Linked DNA regions of Struthio camelus. The protein of the gene in region 1 binds, or shares a complex with, the protein of each later gene. Links are inferred from orthologs where the notes say so. Each region holds a gene or a part of one and is shown in the gene's direction. Other genes may lie near its edges.

Evidence for each region.
Region 2: the proteins of GNAO1 (region 1) and P2RY2 are in contact, whole or in part, in a cryo-EM structure (PDB 9K20), measured with the Homo sapiens proteins. The link is inferred for Struthio camelus from reciprocal best matches to the Homo sapiens genes GNAO1 and P2RY2. Residues at the interface, in NP_066268.1 of Homo sapiens: Ala31, Lys32, Asp33, Val34, Leu195, Gln305, Glu309, Glu318, Ile319, Tyr320, Cys321, His322, Met323, Val334, Phe336, Thr340, Asp341, Ile343, Ile344, Asn347, Leu348, Gly350, Cys351, Gly352, Leu353, Tyr354; in NP_002555.4 of Homo sapiens: Asn66, Ser68, His130, Arg131, Gly134, Val135, Pro138, Leu139, Leu142, Arg143, Met221, Arg224, Leu225, Ala229, Tyr230, Gly231, Thr232, Ser233, Pro237, Ala239, Lys240, Lys242, Ser243, Arg245, Thr246, Leu308.
Region 3: the proteins of GNAO1 (region 1) and C3AR1 are in contact, whole or in part, in a cryo-EM structure (PDB 8I95), measured with the Homo sapiens proteins. The link is inferred for Struthio camelus from reciprocal best matches to the Homo sapiens genes GNAO1 and C3AR1. Residues at the interface, in NP_066268.1 of Homo sapiens: Ile28, Ala31, Lys32, Asp33, Val34, Asn194, Leu195, Ser264, Asn316, Glu318, Tyr320, Asp341, Ile342, Ile343, Ile344, Ala345, Asn347, Leu348, Arg349, Gly350, Cys351, Gly352, Leu353, Tyr354; in NP_001313404.1 of Homo sapiens: Asn57, Asp119, Arg120, Val123, Val124, Pro127, Ile128, Gln131, Asn132, Arg134, Asn135, Tyr356, Ile359, Arg362, Gly366, Arg367, Phe368, Ser371, Lys374, Thr375, Val378, Leu438.
Region 4: the proteins of GNAO1 (region 1) and RGS16 are in contact, whole or in part, in a crystal structure (PDB 3C7K), measured with the Mus musculus proteins. The link is inferred for Struthio camelus from reciprocal best matches to the Homo sapiens genes GNAO1 and RGS16. Residues at the interface, in NP_034438.1 of Mus musculus: Glu64, Asp65, Gln68, Ser75, Arg86, Thr117, Val180, Lys181, Thr182, Thr183, Gly184, Ile185, Val186, Gln205, Arg206, Ser207, Glu208, Lys210, Lys211, His214, His236, Glu237, Asp238, Glu239; in NP_035397.2 of Mus musculus: Glu85, Phe86, Ser87, Glu89, Asn90, Glu124, Ala125, Pro126, Glu128, Val129, Asn130, Asp132, His133, Glu134, Leu161, Lys164, Asp165, Ser166, Arg169, Lys172.

Annotation. Positions count from the first base shown.
Region 1 is NC_090951.1:21,791,320-21,799,278, forward strand, and holds the start of GNAO1 (guanine nucleotide-binding protein G(o) subunit alpha), read left to right. Parts: upstream 1-4,950; 5' UTR 4,951-5,428; coding exon 5,429-5,546; intron 5,547-5,613; exon of another isoform or gene 5,614-5,636; coding exon 5,637-5,679; exon of another isoform or gene 5,680-5,701; intron 5,702-7,959. UniProt on the Homo sapiens protein: Guanine nucleotide-binding proteins (G proteins) function as transducers downstream of G protein-coupled receptors (GPCRs) in numerous signaling cascades.
Region 2 is NC_090942.1:222,647,806-222,655,499, forward strand, and holds the start of P2RY2 (P2Y purinoceptor 2), read left to right. Parts: upstream 1-4,685; 5' UTR 4,686-4,821; exon of another isoform or gene 4,822-4,867; intron 4,868-5,332; exon of another isoform or gene 5,333-7,694. UniProt on the Homo sapiens protein: Receptor for ATP and UTP coupled to G-proteins that activate a phosphatidylinositol-calcium second messenger system. The affinity range is UTP = ATP > ATP-gamma-S >> 2-methylthio-ATP = ADP.
Region 3 is NC_090942.1:88,541,254-88,548,766, forward strand, and holds the start of C3AR1 (C3a anaphylatoxin chemotactic receptor), read left to right. Parts: upstream 1-4,509; 5' UTR 4,510-4,645; intron 4,646-7,513. Other genes in the region: NECAP1 (adaptin ear-binding coat-associated protein 1), read right to left, coding at 1-56, 139-247, 654-735, 1,144-1,248, 1,399-1,499, 3,555-3,652.
Region 4 is NC_090949.1:7,354,117-7,360,984, reverse strand, and holds the start of RGS16 (regulator of G-protein signaling 16), read left to right. Parts: upstream 1-3,864; 5' UTR 3,865-6,163; intron 6,164-6,868. UniProt on the Homo sapiens protein: Regulates G protein-coupled receptor signaling cascades. Inhibits signal transduction by increasing the GTPase activity of G protein alpha subunits, thereby driving them into their inactive GDP-bound form.

The DNA of each region.
Region 1 (7,959 bases):
GGCTTGAAAAACTAACAACAAACAAAGGCTTTTCAGCATCTTTCTAAACCTGATTAGATTGTGGATTTGTCTACCTTCTTGACTGTAGGCATTTTACAGGTCATATTCTTATGCGGACATCATTTGTCTTTCTTGTATTAATAGCTCATTCCTGTTCTGAGTCCAACTTTCCACATGTTACCTCCATCCCATCCCGTCTCTTTCTTTAATATTGGTCTGCACTTTCTGCGTCACTAGCCAAATCCTGAGGTGCCTCCTCACCTGGTTTGCCTAAGTAGAACATATTTGTGTGGTACGGAGTAAGCATGAAGTAAGGGTATTTGCAATTTGACCTAGTATCTGTGCATTTCATTAATCCTGCCTCCATCAACCACTTAACCTTTATGGGCATTCTTGTTGCCTCTCATTGTATTGATTTCAGTCCATTTCTCCAATTTAGTGAGATCATGCAGTATTTTAAACCTGTCTTCCACCGTATAACTAGGTTTAGCTGGGGGGTAATTGACATCAATTTAAAGAATGAAAAATTAGGCTGACTATCCAAGGGAAACTTCCTAATGGTGAGATCTGCTAGAATGCATTGCTGTCTCTCCATGGGATTGGTGGCAGTTCCATTAACGTGCATTAAAACCTTACTGAAGAAGTATAAGATGGCAGATCGTAGAGAACAATCCTGAAGCAGGAGGGGAAAGACAAGTTGAAAAGGATTGTAGCTTGCCTCCTATGGTCATCGTATCCTGGATTTAACCCTCTCCCTCTTCACACCACCCACCAGTTCACAGAGGCTATGCCGAACCAACAATAGCAACTAATTCCAGGGACGGGATCCAGCATGATGCTCCCTCCCAATATTATTGCAACTTCATTTCTGGTGGTGGGAGCGTTGTGGTAGCTGTGGGAGTTTAAGCCAAAGATACTCAATTCGTTTTTACTGAGGATAGTTCTCCCAGCCAGTTTTACTACCTCCTGGCAAGCTGGGAGGCATGTGCTGGCTAAATCCCGAAAACACACGCTGCCTTCACGGCCAGGATCTGTGGCAGGGGTTTGCAACTGCTCCCCAAGGACTTGTCCAGACTGTGAGACCTAGAAGGGCTTCCTAAGTCCTGGGTCTCAATAAACTCCTTGTCTTCCCCCGCATCACACTGTCTGCTATGTTTCCCTTAGAAAGAAAACAAGCTGTCTACGTTAGAAGGAAGTCAGAGCACTCTACAAATCCCTGAGCTGGTAGTCTGGAACTTGGGACGGTGAGGTGTGCTTTAGAGCACATCTCTCCCACCATTTGGACACAGCCAGGAGAATTATGAGAGATATCTCATCACCCATAGGAACACCACACCCCGGAGATCATAAGATGACAATATACCTAGTAACTTTACTTTGGCACTAAACGTTTCAAACGCATCCATCAATTCTGTTAACGTTATCCCAACCTTCACTTCTTAAAGAAATGATTATCTAATTATTTTTTCCTAGCAGAATGGTTGAAAGCAGATTGTGAAGAGGAGACTGTTCTTGCTAAAGCACAGATTACAAATACAGGAGAATGAGGGTTTTCGTTTAAAATATGCTGTTTGTTCTTATGCTTGTAAAGATAATAGTCCAAGCAGAAACAAGCACTGTCCTTCGTGTACTTTGAGTGATATAGTTTAACTGCAGGATCGGCCAGAAAAAAGTCGTCCCCCCCCAACTACCTGTCATGAAAAATATCTTGCATATTTAAGAAAATAAGACAATTTTCTCTGAAGTTGTTAATGAAACCAACTACTTTTCATTAAAAAAGAAATCCCGCCAGTCCCTGGAAACATTATTTTCAGCCACAAAACCCAACGTATTAACCTCAAAGGCCAAGTAGACTGCTACATTTTTTCATTGCTTAGTAGGAGAGGCAGGCTGTTTTTCAGGTTCTTGAAATCCATCTGCCATGAAAACACAATTTGTAAAAAAATGAAATTTCCTTCTAAGAAAAATTCAAATGAAACTTTCCCATCACCACCACTCAATTAGCAGTGACATAAAACCTGTAAAACTTGGCTCAGAAACGGCTCACTTTCACAGCTGCTCCCCTGAATCTGAGAGCAGAGACACCAAGGAGAAGATCTGCCCATTTTGGGTTGTCCCTTAAGAAAGAGATTAGCAGACGCTTACATAGCGATTGGGACTGCACATGGGAGAAAAGGCCTAGTGTGGACCCCCCCACTAGTCACGCAGAAGTGAAATCATTTTCTCCGTGGCAGGAGGCACGGGCTACAAATTTGCCAGATAACGAGTAGCCAGAGGCTGATACGAAAGACAAATTCTCTTAGTGAAATCTTCGGGGAATATCCCAATACGACTCCTATGCTGGCAAATTGGTGGAGAAGTTGGCAAGTAAAACGTAGCCATCTCATGAGGACGCTGCGTCTCGATTTTTTGTTTGTGCTTTTTTTTTAACTGCAATTTTCATAAATCCCTCTGGCTAGTACCGTCAAAATGAAACTTACCAATTGAAATTCTGATCCCATTGATTTTACACAAGGGATTTGCATGGGTATGAAAGAGCAGGAACTGCTCTGCAATCAGTCACGTCTCCATTTACTCCCAACCAAAGACATGTGGTAGATTTGCTTTTCCATGTACGTACTTGTCATCTCATTCCCACGAGCTTCCAGATATAAATTACCCAAAATTCAGATATACAGCACCTATTAGCTCACAAATGAGCAGTAAATACTATTGCTCCCTGAATGCACTGACATTATTTATGAGTTACCTTTTGCCCTCTTTTTTCCCCATTTCTACCTTCTATCTCTTTTTTTACCCCTTTAACCACATGCCATATTTTTTTCCCTTCCTTTCAGGGGAGGGAAAATGAAAAAAAAAAAAAAAAGATTCTGGAAGGAAAGTGTGATGGGAAGCAGTGCTGGGAGGACATGATGATGTTTGCCTGGAAGGAAAGTGTCAGGGAAGCTGTGCTTAACATACTGGAAGTGCTATTAGAAATGGTATTGCTAGCCCTAAAGGAAGGGTCTGTAGATATAGCAGTAGCACAGCTCAAGACAGCAGGATGTAAGAAGAGCTCAGAAGAGGCAGTGGGCCAAGGCCCGAACTGGAAGATCAACAGTGCGTGAGCGTACAATCTCTACCACCCAAAATAAGAAATGGCAAACCACTCCCTTCCCCGAGCCGCTCGCTGTGAGACAGCCCGGGGGAAGTCTGGACCTGGGATTTCCTGAAGGCCTGTTCACTAAACAGAGTAATGCTGGTATTAAGCCTGTTGTATCCTTTCTTCTTAAGGGGGGGGGGGTAGGAGTGGATTTCAAGGGCAAACCTTCCCATTCACATGCTATTTCCTAACAATCAGCCCTTCCTTTGCAGACTTCTTGTTTATTATGTGTGTGTGTGGGGGGGGTGCTTTCTTCATATCAGGCAATAGTCCCTTAGTTTGCTCATCTGTATGTTTGATGGCTTTTAGCTTGCTGTCCTCAACACTCCATTCTTTTCTTTCTAATTTTTTTATAGTCAGACTGTCACATATCAATCAATGTTATGGATTGAAGCTGAATATATCATGACTTGTCTATGTGCTGGAAAAGCATTTTAAAGAAATTTTCCCCATTGACATTTTCTGTTCCCCATTTCCCTCCTTAGGAAATGGTAAAACCAGACAGGAAAATTGCAGGATTTTAACTTGCTAGAATTCCTAAATAATTGCTAGATGTAGTGGAATGGTTATGAAAACAAGGCAGGTTATCTGGTGAGAAGGAATCTTTGATTGCACTGCAGCACAGAAAGAAAAAAAAAAACCCACCTGTTAATCAGACTGATGGAAAACATATCCACAATGGTGGCGAAACTTGATGGCTTCCCTCAAGCACGTAAACAATTTGTATTACAAGTGTTGATCAAAACAATTTAACTGATCAGACCGCTTCAGAAGGGCTCCTCACAGATCTCGCACGCCGGAGGTGCGAGCCCAGCGCACAGGGGCCGGCGGCGCGGAGGACCCGCGGGGCAGCAAGGGAACGGGGCGTCTCCACCGCCTGGGGCTGCGGTACTGCAGCCCCGGCCCCATGGGCGACCCAAGGCCTATTAAAATGCACTGCTGTGTCATGAATCCAACCACACGTCTCCCAGCCCCTCTGATCTCTGTACTACCTGGGCAGAGCCAGGGCAGTGACAGAGGTGCGGGAGCTGTGCAGCTGGGCAGACCCCAGCCCACAGTGACCATGGCAGGGGGGAGAGGACCCAGGGGAAGGGGGGACCGGAGCCCAGGTCACGGCCTCTCCCTAGCCCAGGGCAAGGGGAAAGGAGCTGGGACTGCGGCCTCTGCCCAGGGGAAGGGGGAGAGGAGCCCAGGTCATGAACTCTCTCTGCTGGGGTGAGGAGGACAGGAGCCTGGGTCGCGGCCTCTCTCTGCCTGGGGAAGAGGGGCAGGGGCCTGGGCTGCAGCCGCTCTCTGGCTGGGGAGAAGGGGGAGAGGAGCCCAGGCCGCAGCCGCTCTCTAGCCCCAGGGAAAGGGGGCAGGAGCCCGGGTCGCGGCCTCTCTCAGGCCCGGGACAAGGCGGGCAGGAGCCCGGGCCGCGGGCCCTGGGTGGCCCGAGGCGGAGCCCGCAGCCCGAGCCTGACCCCGCCGCGGCGCTTCCCCTCAGGAGAGCCGGCGAGGGGCCTCGGCGGGACCCGCGGGGCGGCGGCGGCGAGAAAGGCCGGCCGCGCCGCCTCGGGGCGGGGGGGGGGGGGGGGGGCGCGGGCCGGGGCGGCGGCGGCGACCGGGCTGAGGCTGAGGCGGGGGCCGCCGCGAGCATGCGCGAGCCGCGCGCGTCACGGGAGCGGGCGAGGCCGGCGGGAGCGCGGAGCCCCGGCGCGCCCCCCCCGCCGCTGCCGCTGCCTCCCTCCCTCAGCATCCGCCGAGCTCCGCGAGCGCGCCCCGCCGCCGCCGCCGCCGCCGCCCGTGAGGGACCCGCCGCCGCCCGCGCCAGACGGGAGCAGCCCGCCAGCAGGGGAGAACGCGGAACCCGCGAGCACGGGAGAGGGAAGGACCCACCCCCCGCCACGAGCCCTCTTCCTCCTCCTCCTCCTCCTCCCCCTCCTCCTCCTCCGCCTCCTCCTCTCCGCCGGGAAGAGCTCGCACGGCGCCCGCAGCCCCGCTCTGCCCGGTGCCCAGTCGGATGCGCTGATCACTAGGGAGCGGGCAGAAGGGGAGGAAGGAGCCGCGACCCGCCGAGGACACGCCGCGCCGCCCAGAGATTTAGAAAGCTTTTTGTAATCCTTTTTTTTTTTCCCTTCCCTGCCGGGGCTCTTTTTGCCGGCGGATTTGGGCTGCCCCCTGCCTCCTCTCCTGCCCGCGGAGGAGCCAGCCGAGGCGGCGGCGGCGGCGGGGGCCCGTTTTCCTTTTTTTTTTTTTTTTCCTCCCATTTTGTTTTTTTTTTTTTTCCCAATTTTCGGGGCCGCCATGGGATGTACCCTGAGCGCCGAGGAGCGGGCCGCCCTGGAGCGGAGCAAGGCCATCGAGAAGAACCTCAAGGAGGACGGGATCAGCGCCGCCAAAGACGTGAAGCTGCTGCTGCTAGGTGAGCCCGGCGCCGCGCGGCCCCCCGCCCTGCGCCGCGCTCACCGCCCGCCCTGCGCCGCGCTCACCCGCCTTTCTCCTCTCTCCGCAGGGGCCGGGGAGTCGGGGAAAAGCACCATCGTGAAGCAGATGAAGTAAGAAGCGGCGCCGCGCGGGGCCGGGGAGGGGGGGGGGGGATCGCGATCATAACGGCCGTAACGGTGATGATCGCGACGGCGGGAGCGGCGCGCGGGGCGGGGCCGGGCGGGGCGGGGCCGGGCGGCGGCCGCCGAGGTGAGCGGGTGCCCGCGGCCGCCATGTTACCTGAGGGGCCGGCGGGCGGCTCCCGCGCCCGCCCCGCCGCCGCCGCCCCGCTGCTGTTCGGGGCCGCCGTGGTGCTGAAGCGCCGGCGAGCGGGCGGCAGCGGCCGCCGAGGCAGCGGGGCAGAGCCGGCGGACGCGCCGCGGGCGCTCGACGGCAGGTTCCTGCCCCCCGCCTCCCCCCCCCCCGCGCCTCAACGCCCGCTCCCCCGGCGGGGGCTGCCCGGCTGCCGCTGTGGCGTTCATGGAAGGAACGCCAAAATCCGCCGGTAATGCGGATTCCGCGGAAAGGCGCCCTGCCACCCAAAGCCCCTTTCACCCGAGCTTTTAGCCTTTCAATTAATGAGCGGCGAGTTTGGCTGCCGAGCGCCAATTAAAGGGGCCGAGGAGGCAGCGGCGGGCGGCAGCGCTTCGCCCCGCTCCCCTCGCCTCGCCTCCCGCCGCCGCTTGCGAGCCGGGGGGCCGGCGGCGGCGCGGGGCAGCGGCGGCCGGGCCCGGCCCCGGCCCGGGCCCCGGCCCCGCACACACCCCCCGCCCTGCTTCCTCAGCCCTCGCTGCGCGGTAAACAGCAGCGCTGGGAAAACCCACTGCGCGGCCTTTTCCGCGGCGTCGCGATGGCTGGAGTAAGGGGAACGCTGATGAACGGCTGGAGATACGACCGTGGCGGGGTGCTGGGGTTTTCTTTCTTTCTGCTTTTCTTTTTTTTTTTTTTTTTGTTTTCCTCCTTCCCCCTCCTTTTAATTGAAGTACAATCACAATCCCAGCCGCCCGCTGAAGCAGGCACGACAGGCTGGTCCAAGGCGGCGCCATCACTGAGCAACCCCGTGCATTGATTCAGTGCCTCGCTTTTAATTCGGAAAAGACACGGAGCCCTTTCTGCTTTCTAACGCTGATGGTTGCGGAGGGCTGCTCGCCTGGGAGGGGCCCGCGGAGGCCGGCGTTGCCTAGCGAGCGAGGGGCGCCGGCGGTGGGTGTGGAGGCTGCGGGGAGGGGTTGTGCGTGGCAAGCCGCAATCCGGGCAGCGGGTCGCCGAGCAGGGGCGGAAGGGCGCGGGCGCGGCGGCGGGGCCGGGCGGCGGGGCCGGGCGGGGCGGCGGCGGCGGCGTTCAGGCGGTTGCCGTGGTGGACAGCGCCCAGCGGGGACTCGAACCCGCCGGCGCGGCTGCCGCTTCGGCGCGCCTCGGCTCCGCCCGGCGGAGGCCGAGCGCCGCGCTCGGCTGCCTCCGGACAGCGCTCGGAGGCGGTCGGGAGGAGCCGAACGGGCTCGGAAAGAGCCGAAGGGGCTCGGAGCCGCTCGGGCATACCGCTGCCCTGCGCGTCCCTGCGCGGGCGGCCCGCAGCCCCGCCGGGAGACGCCGGCAGGCGTGACTCGGGCATGCCCTGCCCGTTGCTGTGTCAGGCCGTTGCGTCTGGCCGCGGGGGCTCCCGGGGGAGTAAGCCGCCCCCCTCCTACCCCCCCCCCGGCGCACGGCGGGCCCGGGAGGGCTCCCCTCGAGCGCCCGGCGCGCCCCGCCGCTCTGCCCGCCCGCAGCGGGTGCCGCAAGGGCTCCCGCTCAGCCCCCGCTCGCCCGCTGCGGCGGGCGCTTTCCACCCGGAGAGGGCCTGGGGGGGCCCTGCGCTGATGTGGGGCCGGCGGCGCGGGGCTGGGTGTGCGAGGGGGATCGGGGGGGGACGCTGCTGCGGATGAGCACCCATAAATTATTGAGCCGCTTCTGCAGAAACAGGCTGGCATGGCGGACGGCGGGGTTTGGGCGAAGGGAGAGGCTGTGGCGACCACAGCGGCGGCGCGCCAGCGCGCACACGGGGTCCTTGGGCGAGAAGGGCAGGCTACGGCCACGGTGGCACAGGCGATTAGTGTCCAGCGCTGCTGGGTAGCAGAGCTCTTGTTTTTTAAAGCAAATTGTCTCACGATAATAACCAGCCTGCTGGGCTGAATCGCTATATCGAGGACTGAATAATACCCCACTGTTGTACATATGTATTTTTTTCCATGAGACAGTCTGAAAGTAATGCATGGCAGGCTTGCAGTTTTGTGCCTGACTTGAAAAATGCAGAGACGGCAGAGACGGCTGCTATGGTGGCAGGGCTCGTAGTGTCGGAAACTGGGAGGCGTCCG
Region 2 (7,694 bases), on another chromosome or scaffold:
GGCTGCACGTCCATCCGCCCTCCCGCCGCCGGGCCGTGTCAGTGCAGATCTCCCCGAGGAGCGAAAGGTTATTTTGGAGCAAGACGGGAAGGAAGCGAATTCAAAAGCCCCTTACTGAGAATAGCTATTTTTGGGGGGAAACAAAGGGATTGGAGGGTGGGACGCTGCGCGAGTCCCCGCGAGAGCAGGAAAACCGGCTCGGAGAGCTGCCGTAAAACGGCTTTTCCGCCACCGCTGATGGAAACTCGCTCCTCAGCATCTCTACCGATCACGTCTAGCTGTGTCCTTTGGGAGGAACAGATCCAAAAGAGGGATTTGGGGGTGGGAGGGCAACGGGGCTCCTGCCGCCCGGACGCCGATGGGCGAGCGAGGGAGCCGTGTCCCTGCTCCGCGGCCCGGCAGCGGGTCTTCAATCCAGCCCGGTCCGGCTCTTCGCCGTTTCTGCAAATACAGGAATGAGCTTTTTTCACGGCCACCTCCTCTCTATTTTGGGCTCGGCTCGTTGTGTCGGATGGGTTGTCTCGCGCCGCTATTTTTAGGGGGATTTGGTTTCAGGCCGGAGGCTTGAAGGCTGGCTGAGCACCCCTGCGCTGGCGCCGTGACGCTGGGCGGAAATCTCAGCATCTCCGTTCCTAAGAAAGCCGGAGGGTTGGGGGGGGGCACCCCAGCCTCCCGCCGAGCCGCGAGCATCCCCTGCGCCGGACCGCTTCCCGGGAGCGTGCGGCGGCGCAGGGAGCACCCGTCTCGCGCGGGCACCGAATTCCCACCCAATTCCCCCCGAAATGCGCGTGGCGGAGCCGTGCAGCCCCGCGGAAGCGTCTACCTGCCACCCAGGGAGAGAAATCCCCGCCGGGATGCGTAACCCGCTCCAGCAGATCAGGGCGGCCGGTGCAGGAAAAAAAAAAAAATGCTAAAAAAGAGAGAGAGGCTGTTACCCCCCCACACCCCGGCGTGAGACGGGGACCCCCGTGCCATCCGCTATCCCCCCGGCGCGGGCTCGGCCGCGGCGCGCGCTGCCCGTAACCGGCCCTGCCCTTGCCCGCAGCACACGTAGGCCTGGCTGACGGGTTAATTTTAACCCCCCTTTCCCGGCGCGCCGTGTTTATTTAAAACCTTGGCGAACCCGAGCTCGCCGGCCACAACGGGCCGCTTGTGCCCCGGGGCCGCGGCGGCCGCTTCTGCAGCCTGGGAGGTCGCCGGTGGAGACCGGGGTTTTACATGCCCTCCGTGGGGAGGAAGCAAAAATTGGGCTACCAAAAAGCCCCAGCTGCTGCTGAAGGGGGAAAAAAAAAAAAACCATACAAAAGCATAGCGGCAAAGACCTTTTTGCACCGCGACCCGGGGCCGCAGCTCTGAGGCTCGCAGCAGAGCAGCTCCCGGCTCGCATCTTCCCCAAACGCTGGAGCCTGGGAAATGCCTGGGAAACGCGCTCGAGGCTGCGGCCGGAAGCGCTCCCGCGGCTGCCGGCAGCCCCGTCCTTCCCGTCGCTGCCGTTCCCGTAACCCCGCGCGCGATCGCGTTCCTCCCCGCTAGACAACAGGGGAAATGTTTTCGGAGCATCTTAGAAACCTGTATCGCTGCCAAAGGCTGGAAAAACGGAGACGTTAAAAGCAACGAGGGGCCGGTTTCCAGCTCCGGCTCTCGGACGGGTAGCGTTCCCGGCACGGATGACCGCCGCTGGATAAATCATTCCTTTCTCTCCAGCTGGATTCGAAACCTCTTATTCGCGTGGTTGGAGCTGCTTTGGAAGAGGCCTGAGATGGCGAATGCAGATTTTGGGGTCCCCCTCCGGTTGGGTCACCTGCTAAAAACCTCCCGGGTCAAGAAGGATGGAAAAGCCCGAGGTGGGTTAAGCAGGACACGATGCGCAGGCGCGTGCACGAATAACCCCGCGGCCTCCCGTCTCTCTTCCACCTGGTCGAGTGGTGAAAAGGAGGAAAACGCAAAACTGGTGGAAGAAAAGGTTTTTCCCCGCAGCTGGTACAAACCAGGGGGGGAAACCGGGGCTGGCGGGAAGGTTGCTGGGGCGCTGATCCATCAGCTGGAAGCCCCCGCCGCGGCGCGAGCTCCACGGGCATCATTTCCCCGCGCGGTTCCCGCTCCGACCAAGGTTTTAGGAAAACATCTGCTCTCGGTTGTTGCAAACCCCTCGGTCAGCCCTGTCCGCGCTTAATCGCCCCTCGACGCGAAAAAGCCGCCCGCCTCTGTTTTTTAAGCCGTTTTGCTCTTCCCCCCCCGCCCCCAGCAAAGCTGCTCAGAGGATCAGAGGGGGAGAAGCCGCCGGCTTTAATCAAAGGCTTAATTACACTGGGTGCTTTGCCACCCTCCCGGCTGGTCCGAGGCCCATCCGAAGAGCTCTGCATCGCCCTGCCTCGGCGCAGAGCCCGTCCTGCCTCCCTTATCAGGCCCAAATAGCTGCGACATGATGTATTGTTTTCCCTCTGCAAACAAATTACATCAGAAGAAGGAAACAGGCAGTTTCGCGCTGGCACGGAGGTTCGTCGTCAGGCCTTCGGCAGCCCGTGCCAAGCGGCCAGAGCCTCCGCGAACGCCTCCTTAGCCGGCTGCCGCTTTGCGCTCGCGGATGACGATAGATGGTGGCCCAGCCGGTCCCCGGAGGAAAGGCGGCAGGTCTTACGGGCCTCTGGCGCATCCCCCTCGCCCCGTCATCTCTTCCCTGGACGTAAAGTCCGAACGCTGGGATGCTGGACCTGCAGGAGCCGAGGAGATGCAGCTCTGTCCCGGCGAGCCGAGCGGGCTCCCGCTGGCCAGGCTGCGTCCCAGGAAGCAAGGCGAGAGCATCGCCTTTGCATTAGGGAGCAGCACATCCCCTTTCCAAGCGTGGCATCTCTCAAGGGATGCCGTGGTACCCGCATCGCGAAGCTCTTCTCTAGCACGTGGTTTTCAGGAAAATGAGCAAGAGGGGCAGAAGTGAAGCCCAAATGGCCTGAAAGTCCTGTTATCATCTAACTTCTCATCCGGCCAGTCTGGAGGCATTTTTCCACCAGCGGAGCCACTTGCTCTGGCTCCGGTTCTGGTTCTACCCTCCTGGAGTCCTGGGACCCCCTTTCCTCCCCTTTCCACCACTGCGCCCCAGGATCTCGCCCCGGGCAAGGGGTTGGGGAGCTCTGCTCGGGGCACCCTGGGGTGCAGGGGGAGGGCGCCAGGGCCACCCTGGGTGTGCGGCTTCCTGGGGAGCTGGAGGCTACCGTGGCCCCACGGGGGTTGGATGTGACTGGGACCTGCCTCGGGGAGATGAGCAGATCCTGGTCCTGGCCCCGATCCTGGCCCTGATCCCAGCCCCGAAGGGGTCGGCACGTCCCAATCCCGGCCCCAGGGTGCAGGCAGGTCCTGGTCTGGACCCCAATCCTGGTCTCAGGGGGAGGGAGGGGGTGGTCTGGTCCTGATCCCAGCCGCGATCCAGCCCCAGTCCTGGCCCCGATCCTGGCCCCCAAGGAGGTGATCAGGTCCCGATCCCAGCCCCGGTCCTGGCCCCGATCCCAGCCCCGGTGGGGGCAGTCAGGTCCCAATCCCAGCTCTGATCCCAGCCGCAATCCCAGCCCCAGTCCTAGCCCCGATCCCGGCTCCGGTGGGGGCAGCCAGATCCCGATCCCAGTCCCAGATGGGGGAGGGGGACAGGTCCTAATCTCAACCCCGATCCCAACCCCAGTCCTGGCCCTGGTCCCAGCCCCCGTGGGGGTGATCAGGTCCCGATCCCAGCCCCGATCCCGGTCCCAGTCCTGGCCCCAATCTCAGCCCTGGTCCTGGCCCCGATCCCAGCCCCGGGGGGGAGCGGTCAGGTCTCGATCCCAATCCCGATCCCAGCCCCAATCCCAGTCCCGGTCCTGGCCCCCATGGGGGTGACCAGGTCCCGATCCCAGCCCCGATCCCGGCCCAGGTCCTGTCCTCGATCCCAGCCCTGATCCCGATCCCGGTCCTGGCCCTGATCCCATCCCTGGTCGTGCCCTCGATCCCATCCCCGGGGGGGTGGTCAGATCCCGATCCTAGCCCCGGGTGGAGGGGGGGGGGGCAGGTCCCAATCCCAACCCCGATCCCATCCCCAGTCCTGGCTTCGGTCCCAGCCCCCGTGGGGGTGATCAGGTCCCGATCCCAGCCCCGATCCCGATCCCGGTCCCGACCCCGATCCCAGCCCCGGGGGGAGCGGTCAGGTCTCGATCCCAACCCCGATCCCAGCCCCGATCCCATCCCCAGTCCCGACCCCAATCCCAGCCCCGGGGGGAGCGGTCAGGTCTCGATCCCAGCCCCGATCCCATCCCCGGTGCCGACCCCGATCCCAGCCCCGAGGGGGTGGTCAGGTCCCGATCCCGATCCTGACCCTGATCCCATCCCCGGTCCCAGCCCCGGAGGGGGGAAGGTCCCGATCCCGGTCCAGGTCCTGTGCCCGATCCCGGCCCCGGCCCCGGGGGTTGGGGGGTGGGAGGGAAGGTCCCGATCCCGGTCCAGGTCCTGGCCCCGATCCCATCCCCGGTCCCAGTGCCGGTCCTGGCGCCGGGGGGTGGGAGGGGGTGCAGATCCCAATCCCGGCCCCGACCGCGGGTGCCCGTCGGGGGCAGATCCCGGACCGAGATTTGGGGGGGGGGGGGTGAGGAGGGGGAGGAAGACGGTCCGCCCCGTGCCCGGAGGGGGCGGTGCGGCCGCACGCCCGGCCCCGACCCGCCTCCCGGCTCCCACGCGGCGAGACGGCGGCGGCCGCGGGCTGCGGTCCGGCCCGGCGAGGGGACCCGAGCCCCGGGCACGGCGCTGCCGCCGCCCGCCGCAACGGGGCCATCGGCTCGGCTCGGCCCGGATCGGCTCGGCACGGTGAGCGAGAGCGTGCGGCGGGGCGGGAGCGTGCGGCGGCCGCAGGGTAGGAGCGTGCAAAGCGGGGGGTGGCAGCGTGCAACACACACACACACACACACACACAGACATACACAATCCCCTCCAGAGCAGAGGTGCGAGACCCCCGGGCTGCTCCCCTGCACCCTTCGGACCCCCCGGCAGCGCCGCTTGCGTCCCCGCCGCATCCGGAGTCGGGCACTGCTGCCCGGGGGAAGCCAGTTAAACTCCGTTTCGCCCAGCTCAGGGATTGAACGGCGATGCCAAAAACTCCCCGAACCCTAAAAACCCACCCAAGCGACGGGGCGGTGGGAGCGCTTCGATCAAGCAAGCGCGGACCTGCTGCCGTGACCTCAGCCCGGCCTCCCTCTGCTCCTCTTTTTTCCCCCCGCATGGGTTGCTTGCTTGCTCCCTAATTCGCAACCCTTCCCCGGCCACGCAGCTTCGCTGGCGGCACTCAGCTGGCGGCTTATCCGTGATTTCCGGCACGCACCTCCGCCTCCCTCTTTCACTCCACCGTGCGTTCGCCACCTCTGGCGCGCTTCGCTTCGCACCAGCGAGACCCCCGTCTCCGAACCTGTTGAATCATTGCTTTGGCCACTAGCCCCGAAAAAGCCTCCGTTCCCAGGGAGCTGCGAGTGGGGCGGCGTTGCTGCAGCGGAGGTTTGCAGGGTCGAAGCATCTTCTTTCTCTCTCCGCTCCGGTTTTCTTATTGGGTTATTGCAAAACGCGTTTGGCACACTCCGAGTTCCTCTTCCTCCTTTGCGGGCACACAAAGAAAACCTTGTCCTTTGGCCGCCTTGCAGCGAGACGCAGGAGTAAACGGTCCCGCCGTTAGCTGCTCGCAGATCGCGCTCCGGTGTCCCGGCTCGCTCCTTCAGCGGCGCAACCGTCGCTTCCTCCGTTGCTCGCTAGCGGGCGGACGCAAAGTCCCGTTTCTCCTGTAAATGATGCAAAAAAGCAACGCAGCGCTCTTCTTCGTCCCCAGCAGGCCTAAGGGATCACGATGCCCTGGGTTTTTTTTGTTTTTGCATCCCCGCTGCTTCGGGGGGGTTGAGCCTCCCCTAATGCCGGCGTCGGGATCGACATACCAGGGTGTCCCGGTGCTGCAGCCAGGTTGGGGTGACCCGGAGGGGTTTTTGGTTTTCAGCTGCCGTTGAAAGCAAAGGCCAGGAGGGGAGATTGCTTCGGGTTCATGTAAATCAGAGCTGAGGAGTTTGGGGGTTTCTCGGGAGGAGCAAAGAGGAATTTCCGGAAAAAATCATTTGGGTCCAACTGCTACATGTCATCTGAGCTGAAATACAAATCACGAGATGAGATGATGAGATTTTTTTTTGCAGGTTATGCTATCTTTCATCCAAACTCCCCTTTCCAGCTTAGGTCGAGTTCTGACACCCTATTAAGCCAAAACTTCAAAAAATACTTTTCGCGGAGAAAACAAATTTGAAATATTCCACGTGTTTGCGTCTTTCCCAATATATTAGGGGGGATTGTTCCACCACGGTCGACTCAAATTCATTCCCGGCCGCTGCTTCCAAAACTCCTGTGACGCCTCGCTGCTTCGCAGAGGGCTTTTGGCCCCGGGGCTGTTTCTGATTGAGGGGCAGAAGGGGAAACTGAGGCACGGGGCCAAGGCGTTGGGTTGCCGGCGGGTCGAAACGAGCGTCGGGGTTTGCAGAGCCGGCGGGTGCCGGCCGAGGCAAGGACGCCGCGGCCCTGAGACGCGCAACGTAGCGCGGGTGAGCGGCCCTCGCGCCGCCTGCTCCCGGCCGGCCGGGGCCTCGCAGGGTCAGAAGTTTCTGGCTGTTTTCTTGTGGTTGCTGAGGATTTGAACCGTGCTCCCGGAGGAGGGAAAGCCGCGCCAGGTTATTCGCTTCCCAGCGTCTCGAGCGGTTCCTGATACGGAGCGAGGATTTTGATGAGTCCACGAAATGCCTACAGATTCCACGAAATGCCTGCGAATCGGGGCAGGGAAAACACCCACGCTCTGCTTCTGGCCATCGCGAAGGCGACGGGCAAGGAAACGCTGCAAAATGCAGCGCGGCGTTGACCTCCGGCACGAGACCAGGGGAGCTGTGTTTGCAATCAGTGCGGCCGGGGCTGCTCGCAGCTGCGCGGCTCCGCAGCCCTGCCAGAAAATGCATCCGCGCTAATTATTCCTGTTAAACCTCATCCAAGCCTAGTGAAAAGGCATTCATTCATCGCGGCGGCGATTTGGCTTTGCTTCAGTGATTTTGGTCCTGCTGCTGGCCTCCCCAGCACTAAATCGCCCGGAGACTGCTGGGAGGGCAGTGGCGGTCACTGCGAAAAGGGGGAAAAAAACAAGATTAAATCCCTTTGCTCAGTGATTTGATGCACAGCCCCATCTCCCCTCTGTCGCCTCGCCTTGGCCCTGGGTGCTACAAGTCCCTCGGGCGCCCCGTGACCTTGGTGCGTGCCCTCCTCCGCCAACAGCCCCCCCATTCCCTTATTTACTCATCCTCATTCAGATACTGTTACAGGAGTATTTTGGGATACCAGTGTCGCATGTATGTGCCGGGGGGAATATATACGTGAGCAAAAGTGATGGCGTACGGGACGTGGGATTGCAACGCAAACACAGCGCAGCCGCCGGGTGCCTCCTGCACCTTTCTCCTCCCGCACTGTGGTCGGAGGTACCTGTAGGTTGGTGCAGCTGGACAGGGTGCTGCGATGTCCCCACATTGTCTTCATTTCTTAGGTGAAGAGCTTTTTCCTGTTTTCCGGGAAAAGAAACAGGGCCCGTGGGATAAATGGGCTCTTCCAGCAGCCAGCCCAAAGCCAGGCTGCAAAGAGAGAGATGGAGTGAGCCAATTCGACCAGTGTAGCCAGGTTCA
Region 3 (7,513 bases), on another chromosome or scaffold:
CCCCCTGATCCAGATGCACGGGGCTTGGCTGCCCCTCCTTTCTTTGTTGTCATGTTCTGTATAAAAAGAGGGGACAAATGATGAAGCATCTCAACTGGCAAATCCAAAGAAAGAAGCTGGAGCAACCAGACTCCTTACCCCAATGTTCAGTTTGATGGTCTGTCCTTCCTTGAACCCTAAATCTAATTTGGGACGTGTGTCAGCTTCCTGGGATTCCTTGGAGATCTCAGTCTCCTGCTTCACCCACCTAAAAGAAAGAGGAAGACATAAGACCCTATGGCAAAGGGAAATGGGGCTTCAGAAAAATGCACAGTTCCTCCCTCCTGCCAAAGAACTAGCTTGCCTTGTCAGTCTAGCTACCTCATTGCTCCCAGTATAGCACAGCAAAAAATTCAGACCACAGAAGCCCAAAAAGCTGTTAAACACCACACCTGCAGCGTCACAGGACCCAAGCTTTTGGCTTACAGATCTGATCCTACAAGACCCTTAGCCTGCATGGTGGTTTAGAGCACACACGAGTGTGTGTTCCTGATGGAGCCACAGCTGGCCTTCAAGACTATCCCAAAGAAGCCTATGCTAAATGAATGTGCAGAGCTACCCACTGTGTTCCACAGGCCAGAGGAAAAACAGCATCCCAGAAGAGCCCAACTCACTTGAAGTGATCCTGCAAAGAGACGTTGAAGTCAAATGCATCACCCCGATCCGCGAAGCCAATGCCAATGAAAGCACTTCGTCCTAACAGTGAGACAGAAGGGGTCATTGGAAATGTCTTGCAAAGGTGCCCCTGTGTTCATTCTCTCCCAAATCCTTCTGCTTCTCCTAAACCAGTCTGTGCTACCTCCTTTGACAGCTCTGCAGCTGGACAACACAGGCACACAGCAGTTCTTTGCTCCTAGCCTATAGGATGCACCCTTCATCCCACGTGGCACTCTCCAAAACTGAATCCTCCTTCTCAGCCTCTGGACTCTGTGCAATGTAGAGAAGCCTCCTCTGCTGATCTTGCCTTCCTACCCCTCCAGGCACATTATCCAACCTTTTCAGCACTCCCAACATCATCTCAATCCACCTGGCCTACACTCAGCTTCAGCAGGTTAACTCTCTTCCACCCCCAGCACTTGGGCCATGCATGACTCCTTGACTCACCAGTTCCATTCTGAATCCGAATGACAAAATAGCGGCTGGAATCTGTCACCGTCTCCACTGCAATGCCAGGGTATTGGTCTATGGGAGCCTGAGCAAAAAGCTCCCCTATAGGCAAAGAATCAGGCGTTAACAAGAGCAACCTCTTTCTAAAAGATGATTGGGGCTGCCACGCACAGCTCTGAGCTGGCTTAGAAGCACAGGCTCCTAAGTAGCAACCACAGTTATAGTGTTGACAAGCCACACCCCTTCCCTTACCTGAAACCTTATCCTCTAGTTTTATGTATGCGGTTTTGCCTTTGGAGGTCACACGAAGTCGCCCTGTCCAATCCGGATGGTCCAGTTTCCAGTCAGAAGCCCTGAAAAAAAGAGCAACTCTTCACTGACAGTTCCTCAATATTTACATTTCTGCCCAACCAGCTCAGCTAAAGCCCCTGCTCCCAAACCTTCATCACATGAAGTTGCCTCATTCCGCTTCTCTCTCTTCCCACTAAGTTCGGGAGTCTGCTCCTCTCCATTGTGGGGTTAACTCCTCACTGAGGGTCTCAGCTCCTCTCTGTCACTACCAGTCTACATACGAGGCTCAGGATGGCCTTTCTTTCCTTCGGGTAAAGGAAAATAGATACAGTCCAGAGAACATCAACTCCCTGTCTTTACTTTTATAAACTTGCAGAAGAGGAGAGACTGAAACCCTAGAACTCAGTTGGGATAGTAAACCTAAAAAGGACTAATAAGCAACTAGTGAGCATCAGGAAGGCCTAAAAAATTTACAGCATGCTGAAAAGACACTTGATACTTTTTACAACAATGGGGTAAAATAATGAGTACTTCTAAAACTAGAGGCAGCTTGTTTACTCTATGTAAGGCACCACACACACAAGCATACACACAATCTTATTTGGCCCATCAAACTCTTTGCTACAAAACGTTGGGGGAAGGGGAGGAAAGAGTCAATCCTACAGCATTCTACACTCAGAACTGAACATTTGTGGCCAGGAATACCATCGACAGCAGCAACAGTTCAGCAAGACAAAGCAAGTGCTCCTGACACCATTAGTGTTTCAGAGCATAAACCAGTCACTCCAAGAACTCTGTGGAAGTAGCTCACAAAGTCATGTTCTGCTGGTTTTGGCTAAAGACAGAGAAGGTATTTCTAACTAACTTCTAGCCCCGCCAGAGTCACAATCAGCTTTTTCTGGCTTCCACCCCCACTGCTCCAAAAGCCAGTGGGCCAAATTTAACTTTTTGTTATACCACATCACGTTTGTGCCTCGGGGAGCAGAGCAAATATAATTGAGGGCAGAAGTTATTTCTGACTAGAAAAAGCACAGCAAGTGATTTACATCTTCATGTCCTGTGTGAGATTAACTAAGGAGACTCCCCATTCCCCTACAGCACAGAGGAGAACACTCTTGGTTTTAGGCACAGAGAATATACATCAGACTTGATACAGGTTTATCAGAAACATCAAGTACATCATCTGCAGCTGAAGTTTGTGAAACTGCAAGTGCGTAAGGCTTCAGAAAGCCTACTTGACTTGCTTAATGCCAAAGAGAGTGCAGACAGTTCAGCAGGTATTAGCACATAGAAGCCTCCGCCTCTCAAGCCTCTGTTTATTCACACAGAACAGACTGTGCTGACTCTGGGCAATTCTGCAGGAGCGCCTGAGCCAGCACACTCTGCCAGAGCAGTACCAGCTCTGCAGGGACAACGTGGGGTGGGGGGAGGGAGGGAGGGAGAGAAAGAAATACATCTACCACCAGAGAAAGCAGCTATGGTATGACTCAGAGCACACACAAGAACAGATTCGTGAAATAAGAAGAGGTCATTTTTACAAATTTACTTCTCCCTTGATCCAGGCTGCAAGCCCAGCACAATGCAGGGCATGGGCATCACAAAGCAAAACCGAGAGGCCCAAGGCCACAGCTCAGACCCCGGTTACAAGACAAAAACGAACGATAGCAACTCAGTGCATGACTGCACTACCTTTTCACTCTGCGAGAGCACAAGGAGCCCGCACCTTCCCTCAGCAACGCTTCTCCCACCCCAGTTCTGGCACCGTCAAGAGGCGCTGGCATCCCGCGGCGCAAGCGGGCCGCTGCCGCACAGGCACTGGCACCTACTCCAGCCACCGGCCCCCGGAGAGGACACCTCTCCCCACCTCAGCGAGGCGCCTACCTGCTCCAGGGCCGCCCTCCAGCTCCTCAGGCAGCGCAGAAAGGGGCTGAAGGGCGGCCCTGCAGCCAGTGCCGCCTCAGGGAGCCCCGGAGCGCAGCCGTGCTCCCCATGACGCCACGGCGGAGCGGCGCGGAGCGCGGCGGGGCGCGGCACAGCGCACAGCCCCCTGCCCAAACACAGATCGCCCGGCCTCAACCTCGGCCCCGGCTCCCTGGCACAGCACAGACCCCCCTTACCTGTATCCGCGGTTGGAGGTGCGCGGCGGGATGCGGTACACGTTGACATCAGGCTTCACACACAGAACAGACTCATACTCCAGCTCAGCCGCCGCCATCTCAGATATTAACCCCAACTACCTCAGCAGGTAACGGCGGGTGGGGAGCCTAATAGCCGGGGGCGCTTCCGACCGCCATGTTTACTGAGGGCAGACGTTGCCAAGGGCGCGCGCGTGTGGCCATATTGCAATCAGGCCGCGCTAAAGGCGTGGCGGAAGGCATCATGGATCGTGGCAGCAAAACGCTGGAGTAGGGGAGGGGAGGTGGCCATATCGAAACCGTTCCTGACAAAGCAATACGGATGGGTGCCATCTTGGATCCTGGCAGTTGCCACAGGGTTTCGCGCGGCCATACTTGATTCGGGCTGATGAAGTCGTGTCGAGCGCCATCCCGAATACTGGCGACTTCCCTTTCTCTCGGATACTAGAGTGGCGCGGAAAAGCAGCCATGTTGGAAATGGGCAGAATGGAGCAGGCGGCCACCGGAAGCCGTACCGCGTGCTGGCGTGGCTGCCCTGGCTGCAGGGGCCGCTTGCGCTGGCCCGGGTGCTAATGGCTCTGGCTGAGGGCATGGCCCGGGGCAGGATGCATGGCCCTCCTGGGCCTTCTTGGGCTCACCCCACGGAGCATGTGTGTATGAGCGGCCAGCCCAGCTTCTCCAGGAACAGAGCCACCCCAGGAAGTGTGAGAGCTGCTTCCCACATGCCCCATGCCCAGGGCAGGACCAACTGAGCACTTCCAAACCAAAGTGACACCAAGCAGAAGCTCACAGTGTTGTGTCATGTGCTGGAAAGCTGCTGCTCAGGCAGCAGCAGTCAAAACATGCAGTTCGGTTGTGTGCTTTCATGTATTTGGAGGTCTTTTAGTTCTCTGAATGTTCTGAGTACTGTTTTGGGTGCTTTGCCTTCTTTCTTTCATGTTTTTCTTCTCTGCAGCCCTAGGTCAGGAAGTTGGATTTTAGAGGAAAAAGGTTTTTTGTGTACTCTGTGGTTCTGCGACTAAGAGGCCCTTGGTAAAACAGCAAACCAAAGAGAAAGTGCAACACAAACCACTGTAAGTTTTCCAGCTAAAACTGGTGAAAGTGCATGTTAAGTGTGCTTAAGGTTAATTTCAGAGGTATGACTTCCCAGAAATTTGGCTAACCTAAGTATATAAATACTAATTTATTTATTAAATATAATAGGATAAATATTAGTAGCATTTAGACTGCTATTTTGTAATAGTCACTAACTTCCCAGTGGAAGCTGGTGCTGAAGTCTACCGCTGTACAGTTGCTTGTGGCGGACTCTAGAGAATGTTGACCCTGAAGACTGGGGAAAAAAGGGGTAAGGCAAGTTATGAACAAAGTTACGTTTGTCCACCCAGCCTGGGACAGACATAATATGGGCTAATTGTGCTAGGAAGTAATTTAAGCAATCCATGGAACACTGAATAAGCATAGTTTATTGCTGAGGGTGAAACAAAGTGAATGAAATGGCGCTGAGTTTGGGGAATTATTTTTTTTCTGGTATGGTATAGTGTTAGTTAATGCAGTGAGAGCTGAAACTGTGTTTGGAGATTTGTTATCATTTTCATTCCAGGGGTAAGTGGAACTGGGTGGTAATAAACCTCAGCCATAGCATTCTAAACAAGCAGTCCTTCTGTCAGGCCTAAGGTCCAACTAGCCCAGCAGTATGTCTCTGACAGTGCCCACTACAGAAAATATTTGAAACAAAGGGAGTTTGTGCTACTAGTTCCATAGATCTGGTAAGCGAAGCCCAGAAAAGGAAGTCTTGAGTCATTAAAGTCATTGAGTCATTAAAACTAACAAAACAAAATACTTACAATTTAACTAGCCTATCTAAATGTAACTGGCCAAATTTTTCAGAAAAAAAAAATGATGTGGGCAGCTGTATGAATAGATACACACAAAGGAAGTATGACTGGTGTGAGCTGAGTACCTGAAAAGACCTGGTTTACTATGGAATTATGCAAATACACAACTTTCCCTCTGCCAGCTTGTTCTGCCTCCTTACAGCAGGAGGGAGGGGCTGGCACACAGGATTTCTGTGGCAGATCTTGATGCTCCAGGGAGCAGAGGCCCCCACTTGAGTGAAGCAAGCTGCTCCCTGCCAGGCTGCACACTGGAGCAGGCAGATAATCTGTCTATCTTCCTGGGCAATGAGATTTGAAACCCTTCAGGCAGCCTGGACAAGAGCAAATGGGAATGTGTGGAGCCAATACTTAATGCAGGTAGGTGCCACAACGTAAAAGAAAGCTCTGCCTCCCTGCTTACAGTATGGCAGGGTTATGTTGCTTGCCAGATTGTCAGAATAAAAGAAAAGGTAAAAGACAGCACGGTTCTGATGCTGTACTGAAGCTAAAAGAGGTTAACGAGAGGCAAACCTTGGAGGAGAAGGCAACAGAGTTGCTTAAAGAAAGCATATTGAACAGCACAGAATTACACTTTCCTCACATGAGGAGAGGCTGACAGAGCTGGGACTGTTTAGCCTGGAGAAGACAAGACTGAGGGGGAATCTGATCAATGTGTATAAGTATCTGAAGGGAGGGTGTCAAGAGGATGGGGCCAGACTCTTCTCAGTGGTGCCCAGTGACAGGACAAGAGGCAACTGGCACAAACTGAACCACAGGAAGTTCCGTCTGAACCACTTTTTTACTCTGAGGGTGACTGAGCACTTGGAACAGGTTGCCCAGAGAGGTTGTGGAGCCTCCATCCCTGGAGATATTCAAAAGTGTGTGGACACAATCTGGGCAATGTGCTCTAGGTGACCCTGCTTGAGCAGGGGGGTTGGACTAGATGATCTCTAAAGGTCCCTTCCAACCTCAATCCTTCTGTGATCTGTGGGTAGCCTGATAATAATCCATGCAGAAGAATCATTTGAGCTTTTACTTTGGTTTGATTGTGTTTCAGAAAAAATAATGCATTGTCCAGTAATGTGCATGAAGCCTATCTTAATGGATGGATACAACATATGGCACATATTCCTTCTGTGCATAAAAGGCACAAGGGAAACCCACCTTGCAAAATGAATCACTTAAAATCTTGAAACAAGCGTTTACATAGAACAATCCAAACACTATTTCAGACAATGACTCTTTCACTGAAAATGCCCTGGTAAAAATTCTGACTCAAATCATCCTCCAGTACTGATCTTTTATTTTGAAGAGCTGCTTTTTCATTCTGTGATCTATGTATATACCCGTTTTGCCAAGCTTGTTTCCTGCTTGATGTGCAAAAGGCTTGTGCCTACCTGAACTTACCAAGCAGTGCACGAGAATGGTTTTGGGTTATCCAGGGGATTTTCTAAAGAAGAGAAACTGAGGAATATCAATACAGAGCAACCTTGCTGATTCCTGGAGTTACTGCAGCAGCAGCCAGTGAGTCTCTATGAAACTAAGTACATACTAGAGACAATGAAAAAAAAGAATATAGTAAAGATTGGCCACTAAAGCACCACAGCATGCTCTCTGGCGATGCAGTTATGCTAGCTATGGCTAAGCTTTATAGGGAATGTTTTGGACATTTGTTTAGGAAGATGAGCTTGACAAATACACAGGGAACTTTCAGCATCTGGGAAAGATGACAGCTATCTAGTGGCTCCACCTGCTCAGAAATGAACAGGGAGTCTCAAAGGGTCTGTAAAGCTTTGGAGAACTGCAGAAAAAGTAGTAAAAATACAAAATGGAAGTGGAATTCTCAATTCTTGCCAAACTGTTCTGGAAGCAGCCTGCATTCTCTTGAGGGTGGGAGGTTTTTGTAAGTATACCTGATCACATTTATTGAAGAGCAATTATCTATGAGTGTAACTAGTAACTGGTGCAGGTTTGTACTAACAAACAGAATCACAGAATCCTTTAGGTTGGAAGGGACCTCTGGAGATCATCTAGTCCAACCTCCCTGCTCAAGCAAGGTCACCTAGA
Region 4 (6,868 bases), on another chromosome or scaffold:
TGAGGGTCACAGAGACAACCAGGCGGTGAAGAAACAGCAAAAAAAGATGTTTTTGTGTAGGAATGAGGTCAAGAAATTCAGAAGAGAGGACGGTTCCGAGGTTTACCTGATGGCGAGAAAGGTTGATCCTGTTCAAAGCGTGACTCCAGAAAACGCAGTAGATAACATCTCTCAGCAGGCATCTCCAGAATCAGTGCTGGCATTCTTTCAATTTTGGTCAGAATTCATCAAAAAAACTCCACAGTAGCCCACACCGTGTAAAAACTAAATCCCTTCTTTCCTACATTGGTCTGGGATACTGCCTTGAGTAGGCACATTCAGAGACAATATTGCTGCAATTGCAACAGGAGCTATATTCATGCAGGCTGATGCAGGATAAGTGTTTTGCCCCTTGTATTGATGCCAGATAATATCCTCTATAAGAAACATCCTAGAACATACAATAGAGTGAAACTTATTGTCTGAGGGATATGAGTCTATCGCAGTTGTTATTGTTGCTGCTTTTAAATTTTGTCTCTCTAGCAGGAAAGCCGCCTAGTTATTTAAAGTATTTTATTTTAAAACAAGAAATTGGCACCAGCTGCTTCTTTTATGCCAAATATCAGTCTGACGGGTATTAAAATAGGCAACTTCTATCTCTTCGCCTTAAACCAGGGGCTGGTTAAGGAAATAATGAGTGAGCCAAACTTCAGAAAGCACTGAGGGATGACTAATCCTCATCGAGGACAAATATCCTATCTTTGATTCATCTCTTACTGATGTGAAAGGGATATTCATAACTTACAAGCCCCATTTCCTCCCTCCACGAGCGCATACCTCCAAAAATTTGCCCGTTTGAAGTAATGTCAGAGTGCTATCACAAGAAGAGAGAAAAATCATTTCACTTAGCTCTTTCTATCCTGTGTGTATGCTGACATGTACCCAGTCAGCTCTCAAGTCCTTTGACAGCAAAAGGGAAGAAGGGTTTACAGTTGCGTTTTCTTGTTCTATGAACTTCAGAACTTGTGAAGTCCAGAAGCAGATGCAGAACCTGAAACTGCTTTGAATTTCTTATTCCTGCTTTGCCCTGTCAGTCACACTTGGGATTATTCTCGTCACTTTTATTGTACCTGTTAATGTACTGATGGGTCCCTGCTCTCCATGCTGAGAAAGTGTGAAGGGCAAAGTCCTGCTAGTCTGAGCATGGGAGGGAAATAGGGGTGTGTGTGTGTGAGAGAGAGAGAGTGCGTGTGAGTTCATGTACGTGCTATTTAGTGTCTCCCACTACAGAAGCCTTTCTGGGATGTAGATGTGCATGTTAGGCTAGGAGAATTATGCGTAAGTGGCATAAAATGAGATATTAGCTAGTATTGTCTTTGCATTGTGTATAAGTTTGACTAGTAATAAGAGATGTAAAACTCTGCTAGGCTTCCAGTTACCCCTAAGAGCACATGTATCAAACTGAACTGAATGTTCGCTGATAGACACAAACCCAAAATGTTTACAGCATTCAGAGCAATAGGAAAGCATACCTCATGCCAGTCCTGGAGTGCCTCTCACTTGTCAGTGCAAACTCTCCCCTCCCTTTGGCCTCTCGCTTCTCCTTCTAGACCCCTCTCTCGTTCCTGGTCCTGTCCCTGTGCGCTCCCCTCCTCTTCCTTATCCTCCCCTCCTTGAAGCACTCCTGACCGTGCCAAACCTTCCTCTCTGCCAGCGCTGCTTGTCCTCCCTGTGTATCAGCCCTGGCCTCACATCCTGACCTCCCATGCTTCCCTGTCTGCATGCCCGCTCTCCTCATGTATCCTTTGTCTCCTCGTTTCTTTTTACCACCCCAGACACTTATTTCTGGTCTCTCCATCGCTCTCCTACGTACCTCCTACTGTTGCTATAAAGCTCTTAGTAGCTATCCCTTGCCCATTACATAAGAAGAAAACGCTTCACATAATTTCTGTATTAGCTTTCATTCCTGCGGCTGCTGCAGTTGTCTTGTTTCTTGGTACTGTGCTTTCTCTGGCATTGAAACATTATATCCTAGAACTGGAATTAAAGTATATTTTGCTGCCAGTCCAGAACGCTTTTCTCCTGCTGCACACCCCTTGGCCTTTGCAGAGGCTTGGCTTGTCCCCAGCACTGTGTCTCTTCCCCCGCCGCTGGTGCTCCACGTGCTTTGCTTGCTGGCAGGGTCTGGCTGAGTGAGACGGGAGCTGTGCTCCGTTTCACGGGTTCTATTCTTAGGTGCAGACTCAGTAGCTGCTTTGACAGGGTCACAGCTGTGCTTCCTTTTAGCTTTCCGATTAAAAAAATAGAGTGTAAATAAAGGTGCGTGCGTGTGTGTGTGTGTGTTACATTTGCTTAGTAAAGTAAGTCATTTTGCTCTGTGCCTCCTCGTGGTTTTACTGGAGGGCTGTGTCTCTAATTTGAGACTGTGTGCAGGAAACTCAACGGGGTCTCGGGGAAGTGTGTGCATGAGAGGGAGGTGGCAAAAGGCGATGGGTTTATTTACCCCCCAAAACAGAACCTTCTTTGCAAAAAGGTACAAAAGAAAAGGCAGAGCCTGCTGCTGGAGGGACTCGGCATACCAGGGCTGGCCGGGGATCTCAGCCAGGGTGGGAATCACTTGTCTGGTGGCCCCATACCTCCCAGTGTGCAGCTCCATCTAGCCAGCGTGTATTCAGGTTGGCGCTGGACACCAGTACCTCCCTGCTGCTCCTGGGGTGATTTACTTGTTATCCTGAGCTAACAAGGGGGAATTACCCTCAGACTGGCCAGGACTAGTTGCTACATCTGTAGATACACCACCATCTTTCATCCGTGTGCTGTATCCCCAAGGCAGAGTCTAAAACAGGACAGAGGAGGAGCTGCTTGACTTTGCATTTGTGGTGTAGCGCAGAGACAGCAGTGTTACCCTAAGAGAAACATCTTTGCCTTGCTCTGCCAGCGCATGCAGTCACCAGCTAAAAAGGGAAGAGGGAAGGATGCGTTTCATGTTGTGTTTGCTTATGCAAGAGAACTGGCCTCTGTGGGATTACGGATAATGAAAAGAGCGGGTAATGAGTCCTCCCTAGGGGGTGGATCCCCCTTCCTTAAAAACCATGATTAAAGTATTTCATCTTCCTATAACCTCTCTTCCTCTTCCTGTGCAAGCAAAGCATCAGGCACATAGACTTCAGAATTTTCTTTAAGCTGTCTGGCACCTCTATCCTCCGTGGGATGAAGGTATCCCACTGGGAGGAGGAGGCTTTGAGGACCTGAATCAATAGCCAAGCACCAGTCCTGAATAAGGTATGGTTTAAGATGTCTTTGTTCCCTGGGACACAGGATTGTGGGTGGCTCAGAAGGGATTTAGGAGGGCTTCAGTGTGTGGAGCTAATTCAGAACTGAGCCACCAGGTATCTGGACAGAAAGACCAACTCTTTTTAAGATCTTCCCCATGCCGTGTTTCTGTTTTAATTAGGTCCTTATGCTGTCAGTGTCTCCGCAGCATCGGGGTGCTACTGATTTTGTTAGATCAATAGCAGGAGCAGCTTGTTTGGTCTGATTCCTTCCCGTTCAGGTGAAAGCATGGGCTTGGGTGCAGTTTGACGTTCCCTCTGCATTACCTGCTCGTTTGCTTGAGTCACCTCTGCCGTATCAGATGTCTGACCACCGATGATATTCCCACTTAGTTGTGTCACTGCGTTGTGAAGTATTATTTACCTTTACTGTATAGAAACTGTGAGGACATAATAAACAGCCTGAGAACTCCTTGCTTTGTGCCCGAATGTCTGAAAAAGGTGTGAATCGAGCAAGTTTTCCTTTACGGAGAGGAAAGTGCAAATTGAGGGTCAGGTGCCCAGGGGATGGAGGAAAGTCTCTTGAAAGAATTGAGGAGGAGGAAAAGGATGGAAGAAACTTGTGCCTTCTCAGACGCTGGCCTCATCCTTTTGTGTACTGGTTTGACTGGTGCAGACTTGCTCCATTAGGCAGCTGGGAAGGAACGTGTTAACTCTTAAGTGGCTGTTCAGTCTCTCTTTGTTACAGCAGTTTGGATGCAGTCCCCCTGGAGGTAAAACATTTAGGCAGGGGGAGAGGGGAGAGAAATATTATCAGTAGGATCTGGGAGACTATAGGGAAGGCAAATCTGAAGGGTTTTCTACCAGTGGATTTACTCCCTGCTGCTCCCTGTGACGGATCGTCCGCTCCAAACTCCCAAAACAAAACCAGTCACCCCAGCAAACACAGGCGTTTCCAGGAGCAGTCGTTCTTCTTTGAGGAAGCCGAGCTTCCCCCAAGGAAGGTGGGTGCTTATCTCTGGCCGGGGGGCAGCGGCGGCTGGAGCCTCACGGGAGCGCCTGCTTCGGCCTCGCTCCCGCAGGTCCGAGGCGGGAGGAAGCAGCCAGGCGGGCGAGCAGAGGTGGACCTGTTGCTCGGGCCGGCCAAACACGTGCAGTGGCTGGCGGTTGGCACGGTGCCGACGCTCTTGGTCTCAGACAAGTTACCCGTTCCCCTGAACCGGATACCTCGCTGAAGTCGCGCAGAAGTCTTGCAGGACCTTCTCGGGGGGGTATCGGCATGCAGCTCAGCAGCGAGGGCCGCGTTAAAAAGGGAAAAAAGAAAACCAAACACTTGCCGCGCTGCCAGGAGCGTGGCTGGGGGACGGCTGCCACCGAGCCGGGCGTGCGGCCGGGCCGCCTGCGCGGGCAGCCCGCTCGCTGCTCGGCAGAGAGCAGGAGGCGCGGTGAACGCCTGGAGAGCAAACGCTCCTTTGTCAGCCCAGCGCGCGCACGCCAAAAAAAGGCCTGATCCTGATCTAGCAGGTAGGCGATGCGCAAGCAAGCGCCGAGGAAAGGAGAGCAGCGTGGGATGGACCGAGTACGGCCCAGCCATGATGAGCCACTGAACGCTCCCGGTTTTCGGTCTATGAAGAGCAGCGCCAGGCTCCAGGTGGCCATGAGCAGGCCGTTCTCATCGAGGTCTCCACTTGACCAGTCCTGGGGGATAAATTGGGCTGGGAGCAGCCAGCGGGAATAGGCTGGCAAGTCAGCGGCGCCAGCGAGGCTCAGGGCGAGAGCCGGCAGCCGAAACGGAGGCCGACGCGTTGCAAGTGCCAACGGTCAGGCGGGCAACGAAAACGCCGCGGGGGCCCACGGCGTGCGCGAAGCGGAGCCGGAGAGCAGGACGCAGCGGCTGGCCGGGGCCAGCCTAGGGAGTCGGCGCGAGGCTGACGCCGAGCTGGCGGAGCCTGGACCAGCTCCGCAGGGAGCGGCATCGGGCTCGAGGAGGAGGCCGGCCGGCCGGCCGGAGAGAGCGGCGCCCGGGCTCCGCTCGCACCGAGAGAAATCCCTCCTCTGGAGCCGGCCCGGTGGGCCGCGAGCGCTTGTCGCTTGGCCTGCCCTGCGGTGCAGTTAATGAGAGCAATTAAATAAATCTGCTTTTCTCCCGCAAACGTGGAATTTCTGAGCCCCTCCTTTTTCTCGCCTCTCTCTCTCCTTTTTTTGCCCTAATTCCCTTCCCTGCTTTTATTGCTTTCCCTTTCCCTTTCTTCTTAGTTTCTTCCCCCTAAGCCTGACTCTGAGCCACAATGATTCGTGTGCATCCGAGGGAAGAATCTGCCATCAGCACCGCTCCGTCTCCCTCTTAGATAGGATATGTTTAGCCCTCGCCTTTTTTTTTTTTTTTTTTTTTTTTTTGCTCTTTAGTGACTTTAAAGAGCAGGTGCTGGGAACGGAAAGAGAAGATTAAAGGTACCTGCTGTCAGCTACCTCTCGCCGCACAGATGTGCTCTGGTGCTGTACAAAGAAAGCACATGAGCGGAGGGGATAACAGCTGCCCCTCGAGGAGCTCGGTCGCGATGCTCGTGTGTGTTTCCAGCAATCTCGCTCGCCCCAAGTAGCGCAGCCGTGAGCTGTTGGTGACCGAGCCGGGTCCTTACCGGCTGCTAGCTTCAGGGAAACGTAACAAAGAAATACAGTTGACCGGTCCCGCTTCTGTCTTTCTCCTGAAGGTTTGAACTCCCCCTGTTGCAGTCCCCAGTGCCCGGCATCCACCCCCGGTTCGCTGCGGCTCTTCTTCCTTCCTTCCTGTCTTTTCAGGATAAAACCCTCTAGAGCCACACTAAAGCTCGAGGCAGCCGTCGCTTAGAGGCAGCTGGGCTGGTGCCTCCCCAGCACCGGGATGTTGTCGGTCCCTCCATAAATCCCACGAGGTAGGTGTTTGTGAGCGCACGCGCAAGTGCCTTAAGCTGAAATGATGCTACCAGGAATCCTCCTTGCCGGCTCACGGTGCTCGATGGCGCTTTTGGGGCACGTGCGTAGAGGTGCTGTGTCCCCCCTCCCCGGTCCCTCCTTCCTTCCCTGCTACCTAGTTCATTTATACACTTTGGGGGGGTGGAAACTTTTATTCGCGGTTTGCCTGGGTGAGAGCTGGTTCCCGCTGCGAACGACAGGGCCGCGCTGGGAAACGCCAGCTGCCGACGCGGCTCCCTCGTTGCAGGTGCTCGCGTGAGCCGGCTGCCAGCCCCAGCGTGGCCGGCGGGAACGAAAGGCGGAGGGGATCGTCTGGGCGGCGCAAGAGGCAGCGTTAGTTCCCGCGGGCGGGAGGTGGGCTCGGCGCCGCAGAAGTCGGGGCAGGTGGCGGGGCGGGCGCTCGGCCCCGGCGTTGCGACACAGGATGCTTCTCGTGTTCCCAAACAACGGCTGATAATGCAGGCGACTGGTAAGCTCGATGACACAGGAAGCACGTAATTAAATTAGATAGAAAAGAGAATACAGACCTCCGAGTACATCTACGTCGTCGGACTCGGGCTGTTGCACAAGCCTAACGAAGCGCTGCGTGTTATAACGCGATGCAGCTACCGTCTTCCCCCACCGGAGAGCTGCCTGCTTTCAAGCAACGTATCTTCTTACCCTTT